Oryctolagus cuniculus: one gene and its partners. Each later gene encodes a partner of the first gene's protein in a complex. Links are inferred from orthologs where the notes say so. Each region holds a gene or a part of one and is shown on either strand. Other genes may lie near its edges.

Region 1 (3,745 bases):
TCTCTGCTATGGTCTGGAAAAGCAGTACAAGATAGCCCAGGTCCTTGGGCCCCTGCACCCATGTGGGAGACCCGGAAAAAGCTCCTGGCTCCTGGCTCCTGGCTTCGGATAGGTGCAGCTCCGGCCGTTGCAGTCATCTGGGGAGTGAACCAGCAGATGGAAGACCTCTCTCTCTCTCTGCCTCTCCTCTCTCTGTGTAACTCTGACCTTCAAATAAATAAATAAATCTTAAAAAAAAAAAAAAAAGAGAGAGAGAGAGAACCAACACATCAATGAGAGCTTCTTCATTTAAAGGACATCTGTCCACTCTGCCCAAATAAGGTTTATCCTGTGAGATGAAACTTGGCCCAAGTGCCACCTGTTGAGAAACAAAGTAAAATCTCACGCAAAAGAGTAGGAGAAGCAGGAGGACTCTCCAAAGAGCTGCACACCCAAGCCAGTAGCTCTTAGAATGTTCTAATACTCCATATGAAGTTTCAGAGTAAACAGTTAATGACACATCTTTTGTAACACATGAATCAGCTACTGATTTGCAAGAGCAGGACACACCCTAGCACCCATGACTTTAAAGCACCTATTTGAAAGTGGACCTGAAGGTGGAACCCATCCCACTAGGACTAGAGCAGAATTTTACAACTACATAAGTTGTCACAATTTGAAGTTAAAAAGATGAACACATCATTATAATGGGAGATAATCCGAGACCTTCATTAATACTTTAACACCAGTAATTACAAACAGTAGCAACGCAAGGTAAGGAGTAACCAATCACTCCTGCAAAGCAATCTTCAAAGGGAGCAGTGACAGGTAAAGGGACTGAAGAACAGCAACTTCAAAAACCAGGATATTCTCCACTCTTCACAACACTAACGAAATGAGGCTGATGAGAGAAACACACATCTTACCTTAAGAGGCACCCGAATCGCATTCATAGTGTCAGAAGAGTTCAGACAAGATTCAGAAATGAGCAAACAGGGAGTCAGTGATCCCCTCAGTCACCAGGTAGGAGCAGGCAGAAAAACTTCCTGTTTTGAGAAGTTACCTAAAGGAGAGAGCTCTCAGTTAGACTAAAAAATAATACGGAATATGCAAGTAGTTTAAGCTACTTTTATATATATATATATATATATATATACACACACACATATATTTTTTTTGTTTGTTTCATTCATCCCAAAACACAGTACTCTTTGGAAAAGGGCAGATACTTGCATGTAAACATACTTTACCTGAAAAGACAAAGGTATGACATTTTAGAAAATATATAATTGCTTCTCAAAGAATCAGAAAACCAAAATCCAAGAAAGGGGAAAAAAATTTTAAGAGTACTTCATACACATTATGGAAAGGTGATTTGTTAACCACCTAAAAAAGGATCCTTACCATATTTAATTTTATATAGTAAATTAAAACTCCTCTTGATGATTCTGACCTAAAATTCTGAGCTTAAATTAAGTTTCAGAGCTGATTCTACATAATAAATAAAATCTATTGACCAAAGTACTACAAACAAATAAGGCACTTCTTCCCAGGAGATCTTTAAAGGAAACCCTTACAACTTCATTCTAGGATGAGAGGTGGCAAATCTGCCTGGAGACAGGAGGATGGACTAAATGACCTCTTGTAGGATCCTACAGTTCAAGTCCTAGGCCTGAATGAAATTCCAGCTTAACCAGTTACTGCTTCGCTTAAAATGGAGGCTTGCCCGAGTAGGGACAAAAATAACAGCACTCACCTCTTAAAAAAAAAAAATAAGGAAAAATCAAAGACTAAAGTATCCTCATTTCAAAAATAAAAACAAAAAGGCAAACCCTCCGGAGCGGGTCTGTTCCGGCTATGCCTCTGCACTTCGGCTTCGAGGACTTGGCATCACTCTCCGCCCCGCTCACCGGATCTGGGGGTGCCGGTGGGGGCGGGGTGCGAGGAGTTCGACTCTGGACCCAAGTCTCGGGCGGGGTCCGGACCCCTCTGCGAACCCCCCTCCCGGGCGGCGGGAGAGGAGAAAGGGGAGAGCCCGAGTTCTCACCCCTCCCCCACCGCGGACCCCAGTCCCGAACCTACCCTCCGCACCTTCCCGCAGCCGGGCGACCCCTCCGGCCTGACCCCCATTGTTGGGGAGGGGCGGATGGGCGAGGGGGCTCCGGGCAGGGGCGCCCGCGGCCGTGGCCCCGGCTCGCTCCGGGAGGGGGCGGCCCGCGGGATGCAGCTTCCCTTCCTCTCCGCGTCGGTCCGTCCCACCTCGGCTCGGCCTGGCGCCCTGGGCTCCCTCGCTGCCCCCGGCCCGGCCCACCCCCCGGGCCGCCAGGCCCTCCGGCAGCTCGGCCAGCAGCCCGCGGTCCAGGCCTACCGGTGGGCGCGGGGTGGGGGTCCCTGTGCCCCACACACGAGTCCCCGCTCCCCCAGCCCAGCCGATTCCAGGGCCCTCGGCGGAGCCCGTTCCGCGGGCCCCTCGACCCTTCGCCTCCCGGCCGGGCCGCCCCCTCAAAGCCCCCGGGTCGTAGCCGCCTTCCCTCCCCCACCATCACCCCTACCCACTCGTGCCCCCCACCCCCCGGGGCACCAGTGCCAACGGCAGCTCCCCCAGCCCCGGACCTACCTGCACGGCTCAACCAAGCCTAGAGTGGGGGCGGGGAATCTTCCGCCCTCCTCTGTCTCTCATTGGGCCTTCCGGGGCTCCTCGTGGGCGCCATTGGTCGAGAGAGGGTGTCCATCAGAGCGATGGGGCGGGACAGAGAGGGGAGAGGGATGCTGGTGCTTCGGCGTCTCTGTCTCTGTGTTATCTCGCTGTCTCTGTCTCTGTCAGGGCCCTTGGAAACGAGAGGCTTTTGGACAGGAGCTCTGGAAAGGGGCCCTGAGGTGGGAGGACTGGGAATCGGGAATCCCAGCGGTGCTTCTCACCAGTAGGCCACTCTGAACCCCCTGAGTCCCCTTGAGGTTCTCCTCTCCATCACCCCCAGCCCCTGCCCCTCACCCCTCTGGGTTCTTCATCCAGGAAGCGACGTGATGAAAACTCGAGGCCGGAAGGCCATAGGGAGAGATTTTATATATGAATCTCGAATTCGCACATATAAATGTTTATATGTAAAGCCAGTCACGTATACGGCTCCAAGGGCCTGGAGAGGGACACATCTTTTACAAACAGGGGAGGACTTCAGATAAAACCGATGGAAGAAGGGATCAAAAATCACTCCAGGCTGGCCACGGTGGTTACTTCCCGGAGGGCAGCTCCAGTGAGCAGGTGGGAGAAAGGCTTCCAGCTCACTGTATGGCCTTTGTATCCTTTGCTACTTTTAAAATCATTCATGAACATCCTAATTCTGAAAAAAAAATTTTTAATTGATTTAAATTTTTAGATAATCTGAGGTTGAGGTTGCAAAACCTGGAAATGGGGACAGCGTACAGATTTGGGGAGGAACCTTGGGTTTCAATATGTTCCATTCCAAATACCAGGGGTTAAGTGAGTGAAGGTGTCCCAGAGACAACTAAAGTTACAAACTTTGAGAGAGCATGGGCAATCTGGCTTAGAAAAGATTTAGAGCTCTCTGCTCACCACATGATAATGCCCAGAGTCTCCCCCACACATGTAAAAAGACACCACAGTTAAAGTCAGGAGGGTGAGAACGAAGGTGAAATAAGAGAAACAAAATATTGATGACACATGAAAGTTAAGGGAAGAAGCGTTTCTGGGAAAACAGAAATAATTGGGGCTGGTGCTGTGGTGCAGCAGGTTAAAGCCCTGGCCTGA
Region 2 (3,645 bases), on another chromosome or scaffold:
CACAGTAAGTGATGGACCTTATCCTTTGACGGCTCCCTAGCTGTGCAGTTAAGAAGGCTGTTTGCCATGGACCCAATGACTCCAGACCCAGTCTCCCAGCAAAAATCAGCTAAGCTGAGGAGGCCGCCTCCCTACACCTGCCCAGCCCAGTGGAAGGCAGATGTGCACCTGTGGAGCTGGCCCTGGGGAAGGATTTGCAGGGAGACCAGATGTCTTGCTGCTGATATCCTGCAAGCTGAAGCTGAGGCCTTGGAGGAGGCTGCTGGCTGATGTGGCCCCTAGGAGAGGATATAACAAGCTCAATCACTAGCATGTATCCCAAGAGCAGCCATGCTTGTTCATCCTTACCAACTAAAACCCCAATGCTCCTACACACTCGCCTGCTCAGATACCAAGAAGGTCTCCTAGGCACACACACACACTGGTTGCCCTATGAGGAAAGGCACTATGCCAGATACTGCCTTGGGATTGACTCTGCACATCCCAACCTGCTCCAAAGCACCCAGACTACATTTTAGACAGTGTTAGGAAAACCAAAGAGAGCCCAAATCACACTTTTCAAAAACCTAAATTCTCACCTAATTTCTAGGGAAGAGGAAGGACTTTTTAAACGAGAAGAATTCCAATATCTGCTTTCTACTTCACCTTACACACAGTCCAGTGGCCTCAAAGCCAAGAGGAAGGGCCTCTTGCAGAAGGGTATCATCTGTGATGCCAGGCCCAGCTGGGCTCAGGCAATGAGCCTTTCAATGGGGCGTGCTGGGGTGGTGGTGTAGAAAGCAAGACACAAGCACAGGAAGGACAAGGTCTTGCTTTGCTGTCAGTACATCACCATTCTAGTTTTCTTCAGTCAGATGTATTTAAAACACCAAATGGAACACAGCACATACATTCCCCACCAGCTACTGCTTCCCCTCCTTAGAGTACAATATAGAGACCCTGCAGACTGGGGGCATCCACTCACTGCAGTCATCAAGGCCAATGAATCCCCAGCTCAAGCTAATTCCAGATCCAGGTCAGCCTCTATGCTGTCTTGAGGCCCAGAGTTGCATCGTCCAGCTCCAGGGATGTTTGCCCAGGACTATCCCCCAGCAGCAGACTAAAAGAATTTGCTGGGAGAGGGGAGATGCTGGGTTACAAGATACCTGGGAGGGAGCTGCCTGGAGAAGTGGCCACCAAACGGCTCTGGAGTGTGTGCAAGGTGCTGGGTGTGGTACTGTTGGAGACCACCGAAGGGGCTGGGCCGGCTGTGACTCCACCTTCAGAAGCACTGGACCTGAAGACAAAGAAAGGAGCTCCCTCATCCAAAGGCCAGGGGGCCACAGATCCTAGCAACACAGGGAAGGTCCACAGTGGGGCCTGACAAAGCTTTAACTAGATCCAAGCTTTGTCCCACCTCCTGAACCCAGCCTCTAGTCGTCCTCAAAGTCAGGCCTAGAGTAAAGACTTTAGGACGAGAGCCAAGAGAACTCAGAGCTGATCCAAAAGAAAGACAAAAACCACAAAAAGAAAGAAGGTACATTTCCACAAATGACACAATCCAGGAGCTATCATCTTTCCACAGTACCATATAATACAGAGGAGTGAAGCTAAGAAGGGAACAGAGACAGCAACCGAGAAACAAACTCACCTGGTTGTGGTGAGGAGTCCGGTGAGCTCCTTGGTCCCTGCTGAAGACTGCCCCAGTGTCATGGTGATGGGTTTCCCTCCTGAAGCTGCAAAGCAGAAAGCCCTGAGACACTACTCAGACCTATTTGGCCCCTACATTTCCAGGTTCCACAGCCCAGGCTAAATACAAGATATTGTGGACAAAGACTTGAAGATGAAAAAAGAGTAACTTTGTTAGAGGAAGAATTAGGGTAACTTCTCCTATTTTCTAACTTTTTTGGAATATTTTATCTCTATTCAAAACAAATATACATATTTACATGCCATGCTCAGAACGACCCCTCGGCACCCTCGGTCCCTGGAAGTCAATGCCCCCTTGCCATTAATGTGCCATTTTTGCTCCAGGTCTCTCTCACACTGAAGCAGAGGCTGAGCTGCCTGCTCCAAGAAGAGCCACCAGGAAGCAACACTTTGTGTCCTGGGAGAGCCAGGTCCACTCGGGTTTAAACAGGCTCGAGAAACTCACCTTCAGCACCTCCTCCTTGGGAAGGAGTGTCCCCTTGGGAAATAAGGGACACCTTGATCTTTGGTCGCTTGGAGGCCTTACTGCCAGGCAGAGGACTGGAGGGGTGGTGTCGCTTCAGCTGGACTCGGAGATCTTCTTTTTCTGCCTCCTCTGTTGGTTCTGATGAAATAGGAACTAAGAGATGGAGCTCAGGTGAGATTCTGCACAGTCCAAGAAAGCCTGGTGGACACTGTTTGTCAAGGTCAGTACGGGAACACACAGGAAGATCAACCCACCCTTAGGCCACATTTCACAAGAGACGACCCGCGTTTCAGTCCACTTCAATGAGGTCTGCCTGAGCTGAAGCCCACCTTGCCCTTCTCAAAGAATGGCCCCATCCCCATCTCTCACTCTGCCTTTGAAGAAAGGAAGGGAAGAGGCCCAGAGTTGGTAGGAACAAGACAGAAGACATCTGTCTAGCAAAAGCCACAGCAAGAATAAAAATGGAGGACTCACTAAAGTATATCTACACAGTGTGATCACTCTCCTGTCCCAAGCCATCCCCCATGTCATCACTCAGCCAGGAGACAATAAACATTCCATGAAGAACCCACAGAGGAGCACCCAGTCCTTTCTAACAGGGAGTTTTCACAAGACTGTGAGGAGTCCCATTCTGTCCTTAGAGCCCGGGCTGAGGGGTGCTTGCCAAAGGGGGCAAGGAGGACAACCTCCAGGACTTCAGGCTGGGGGAGGGAGGCTCAAAGCCCTGGCAGCCTCACAGCTCCTAAAGGTGGTCCTGGGTCATCTGTACAAGTACAGAGAAAGGCTATCTGTTCACACATCATAATGCCCACAGCCCAGCTTCTTGGACTTGCAAGTTATCCTTCAGGAGTCCTCACAAATGTCCTTGGCTTTCAACCCAGAAGTCGCCCAGCCCTTTTTCGCACAGGCAGCCAGGGGTGGAGGTGGGGAGAAAGGCAGCCACACAAGCATGAGGGGGATCCAGGCATGGGGCCATGACCAGGGCACAGGCAGCTACTGTGGAATGGCACTGTGGAGAGGACAAATGTACTCGCTGAATCAGAGCAGAAAGGAACGGGGAGGGCGAAGGAGCCGCAGGTTTCTTCTGCTGAGTGGTTAGTGTGCCTGCAGCTGGCAGGGTGGAAGCATGGAAACAAGCAGGGAGCGAGCACACAGGGAAACTCAGGCTCTCAGGCAATGGGCCACAGGCACACAAAGGTGAAGGAGCTACAGTGAAGGCAAACAAGGAAAACACACAGAAGCAAACAGAGAGAATGGAGATACAAGACAAAGCATCTGTAGACGGGGAAAAGCTCAGAGAAGCAAACAGGAGGAAATCAAACAGATGAGAGAGGCAGATGAGAAGCAGAGACAGGACAGAATCAAGAGGGGTGGGAATAAAGCAGAGAGCAGACGGCGGAAAGGTGAGAGAGAGAGTAATACTCACCAAAGAGACAGGAGGAGGTGCCAGGAGGAAGAGCTTTCCTCACCAGCATATTTTGTTTCAGAAA
Region 3 (3,745 bases), on another chromosome or scaffold:
TTACAACTTACTTTAGGGGATCTTCTTGATCACTGTCTATGCTATCAGCTTCACTGTCAGGGTCACCTCTCCATGTCTGATCCACAGTAATGGGTTCCTGCTCCCCATCACTCCAGCTGTCTTCATCTGAGGCAAGGGAGGGAGAGCAGCCATAAGACTTCCCACCTCTGTAACTCCACCACACAAAACTAGGTTACTTAACATATCAACTCAATACACAGGCACTGGCAAATAAAAACACAAGTATAGAGTGCTGATAAGATTATTTACAACTCAAGAGGTCCAAAAAAGTCAACTTAAAAAATTATTATTCTTTCCTGAAATAACCTAGCAAAGTGCTGAGCATAAAAACAGCAATGAAGGAAGAGTCACCAGCTCAGGAAAACAAACCAAAAGCAACACTATTTCAGATTTGAAAGAGTTGGTGAACATAGCAATCCTGGAATTCTCACCAGATTCCCAATAAATTAACAATACTGCCAGCACATTCAAGGCACTACCTTCCCTTTTCCACTACAGGGAAAGGCCCTTACCCAGGATGCGGCTGGCTTCACTGCGGCTACTTTCTGGAGTCTGGGAGCCCAGCTCCGACTTGGCATATGAGCTCAGCTGGCACAGGAGTGTTTCACCCACAGGCCCTGGGTTGGTCTTCTTCATCTGAGCATGAAGCGCCAGGGCATTCCTGCGGGCATGTTCCGCACAGAAGGACACCCTAAGGAGACAAAATACCAGTATTTCACCATAGTCCTTGATCCTCAAAGCATTTTTAAGCAATTCAAAGGACTATTTTATTCACTTCAAAAAGCCAATGAGTCAGAGGAATTTAACTGGCCCGAGATCAACTTAATTGTATTAAAGGAAAATGCAGATAACATAACCCAGCATTCCAACCAGCAAACAAAACATTCCAACTATAAAAATGTTGACATCATCTAGAAACAAATCAAAGAGATTCACTTTTCATCTTTCAATACTGGTTCCGGAAGGCACATTTTAATGCCAATCCACTGCAGGTTAATAAGATGTAACACACAGTTTTAAATTAGAGAATATATACAAATGAACAACCCCAGTTATATTTTTGCAGGGACGCCTCTGAAGTCATGAAGCCTCTTCCAGATTATACACACACACACACACAATTCGGCATATTATTTAACAAAGTTCACAGACACACCAAAGAGCCATACACCCCAAAGTAACAGTAATTTTCAGCATCCCTTCATTTTCAAGAAAAGGGGAAAGACTCCCTTCATTTTCAAGATAGATTGAAAGTAATTTCAATAGACTGAAAGATCCAAATTGAACTAAGTGATTCCAGTGTGTTTCCGGTTTTCACGATTTTAGTAATTTTCCAAGGATATATGCATAAGCCCGGTTTCACAAGGGCGTGACCGAAAACTCCACAGCTATGCAGAAGCCAACATCCCAGCACATTCCCTAAGAGGCACAAGTCTGCATACCCATCCTTCTTCTCTGGTTTCGGGGCAGCATTGGGACATCTTTTCCCATTCTTGGTCGAGATGTAACTGCACTGCTTGAAGGGCGCATTCTTGTCTTCAAGGATGTGCTTAATGCAAAATTCCTGCCCTTCCAGACGAGGCTGAGAGCACGGACGATGAGTGAACGAGCAAGACAGGGGCTCCTGAGACCTGGGCACCGGGGTGATCCTACCCCGACTGGTTGGCAAGACGTGAATCCGAATCCTATTCATACCAAAACCTGTAGGGTCACGCACAAGATCCAAGAGCCCTCAGCGCTCCTGAAAACTCCTGCCGCCGCCGCCCCCCTACATCCGGACGGACCACGTGCAGTCACTCCGCCTCGCCGCCCTCCCTCGGGCCTCCCGGGCACTTGCACACTTACCTCCCCGCCGAGTTCTCCCTCCAAGCCCGGCCCGCACCGCGCTGAACGCCTGTCCACGGCTCGCACGGCGGCAGCACGAGGCGAGCTCCGCAGGTTCGCGCCCGCCCCGCCTCCCCTGCGCACCGCCTTTGTCCAGGCCCGCCTCACAGCTCCCGCCCGGCCCCAGCGCCCATACAAGCGCCATTTTGTCCTAAGACCCTGGGCACCGGAGAACCAGGCTCCTGGGAGCCTACAAGAAAGGGGAAGGGTACAGACGCTGATACAGACGGGGCACCATGTCTGGGCCCACAGAAGGGGGTCTGCAGCAGCCCTCCGACGGGCACGAAGACCCAACAGCGCCGCCATCTTACCTCCACTGCCGCACTCTCCGGAGGAGCTCACCCTTCTCTGGCCGCGCCAGCCGCTCCTACCTCGGCCCGGCTCCTTTCCTGGCTCCCAACCGTTGATTGGCTACTGCTCCGCTGTAGCCGTGTCGCCATTGGCCGAGGCTCACTACCTATCAAGCCTGGAGGGGGCGGAGCGCTGAGAAAACGCGCGCTTCAGATGGCTGAGATGAACTGTCCGTCAGCAGCACCGCCCCAGGAGAGTTGCCCTGCGGCTGGCTGCAGCGTCCGCTGGCCGCGACTGTGGATTTTCTTTAAGACATGGGCCGGCCCCTGTGCTTGTGGTCTTAGGCTGCCGCTCCCTCAGCTTCCTTACACGGCGGGTGTAAAATCGGACAGAAGGACTCTTAGTATTTATATATGACAGAACTAGCTTTCTTTTATGAGTTCAGTACACGTACACGATGAACCTGAGGAAATTCAAGTATAAATTCATTTTCCAAAGCAGCCCTAAGGAGCAGAGGACCCAGGAGCACAATGGGCTATCTGAACCCAGCTATCCTGCGTTTTACTGCCTCTCACATGGTGGTGTGGAGCACTGGACCGAGAATAAGGAAACAGGAGTTTGGGGTTAAGCCTTGCTTCTCCTAAACTGTGCCCTGATAGCCTACACACCTTCCACAGGCACATGTTAAGTAATTCAGGTGTTATAGAAATGACACAACACCTGCTTCCCGCACACATGCTCGCTCTCTCCAGATCTTTCTTCCTCACCCAGTCTCCTGATCTCTCTCTCTCTCCACCGTATCAGACTTCCCCCATCAATAAACCCTTTCCCTTAACTCTGGTGTTTGGTGTGTTTTGTGGCGGCCCTACATCAACCTTTAAGGATTTTTATTAAAAACATCACATGTATCTCCATAACTCTTGTAGAAATGACCCAATACTGGAGGCCAATGCTGTGGCACAGCATCCCATTTGGCGCTGGTCCAGCTCCCTGCCAATGCACCCCGGGAAGGCAGGAGTAGATGGCCCAAGTGCATGGGTCCCTGCCACCCACATGGGAGACCCAGATGGAGCTCAGGTTCCTGGTTTAAGGCTGGCTCAGCCCTGGTCATTATGGCCATTTGGGGAGCAAACCAGCAGGTGGAAGCACACTCGCACTTTCTCTCCCCTCAACTCTTTAAAATACATCCTTTTTTTTAAAAAAAAAAAAAAATCAGTTTCGAGACAAGGAATGATTAAAACCAAATTGAGGAGTTGTGGTGAAATTGGATGGTGCTGTTTCCAGAGAGCAAGGCAGTCCTAGAAGGTGGCCTTTTCCTGAAATTCACACAACAAAGATTGTATTGAGCACCTAAGTGCCAGGCACTAGGGATACAGGGAAAACAACAAAACTTTTTTTAATCCTGCACTCTTGAACATTCTAGAACAGCTTAGGATTCTGAATACAAGTATCAATAGCGGTAATGATCTATATACAGAACAAACACTCCACACCTCAGAACGGGTTCAAAGATGTTTGTTACATACCCCCTTATAACTCAACCCTAGCT

Evidence for each region.
Region 2: KANSL1 (region 1) and KANSL3 share a complex: the UniProt entries of both Homo sapiens proteins name them as parts of the NSL complex. The link is inferred for Oryctolagus cuniculus from reciprocal best matches to the Homo sapiens genes KANSL1 and KANSL3.
Region 3: KANSL1 (region 1) and KANSL2 share a complex: the UniProt entries of both Homo sapiens proteins name them as parts of the NSL complex. The link is inferred for Oryctolagus cuniculus from reciprocal best matches to the Homo sapiens genes KANSL1 and KANSL2.

The regions. Positions count from the first base shown.
Region 1 is NC_091448.1:17,042,262-17,046,006, reverse strand, and holds the start of KANSL1 (KAT8 regulatory NSL complex subunit 1), read right to left. Parts: upstream 2,693-3,745; 5' UTR 2,597-2,692; intron 1,043-2,596; 5' UTR 906-1,042; intron 1-905. UniProt on the Homo sapiens protein: Non-catalytic component of the NSL histone acetyltransferase complex, a multiprotein complex that mediates histone H4 acetylation at 'Lys-5'- and 'Lys-8' (H4K5ac and H4K8ac) at transcription start sites and promotes transcription initiation.
Region 2 is NC_091433.1:111,115,506-111,119,150, reverse strand, and holds part of KANSL3 (KAT8 regulatory NSL complex subunit 3), read right to left. Parts: coding exon 3,582-3,645; intron 2,309-3,581; coding exon 2,135-2,308; intron 1,716-2,134; coding exon 1,631-1,715; intron 1,277-1,630; coding exon 1,146-1,276; intron 279-1,145; coding exon 169-278; intron 1-168. UniProt on the Homo sapiens protein: Non-catalytic component of the NSL histone acetyltransferase complex, a multiprotein complex that mediates histone H4 acetylation at 'Lys-5'- and 'Lys-8' (H4K5ac and H4K8ac) at transcription start sites and promotes transcription initiation.
Region 3 is NC_091442.1:52,177,233-52,180,977, forward strand, and holds the start of KANSL2 (KAT8 regulatory NSL complex subunit 2), read right to left. Parts: upstream 2,245-3,745; 5' UTR 2,051-2,244; coding exon 1,867-2,050; intron 1,723-1,866; coding exon 1,464-1,722; intron 713-1,463; coding exon 534-712; intron 127-533; coding exon 12-126; intron 1-11. UniProt on the Homo sapiens protein: Non-catalytic component of the NSL histone acetyltransferase complex, a multiprotein complex that mediates histone H4 acetylation at 'Lys-5'- and 'Lys-8' (H4K5ac and H4K8ac) at transcription start sites and promotes transcription initiation.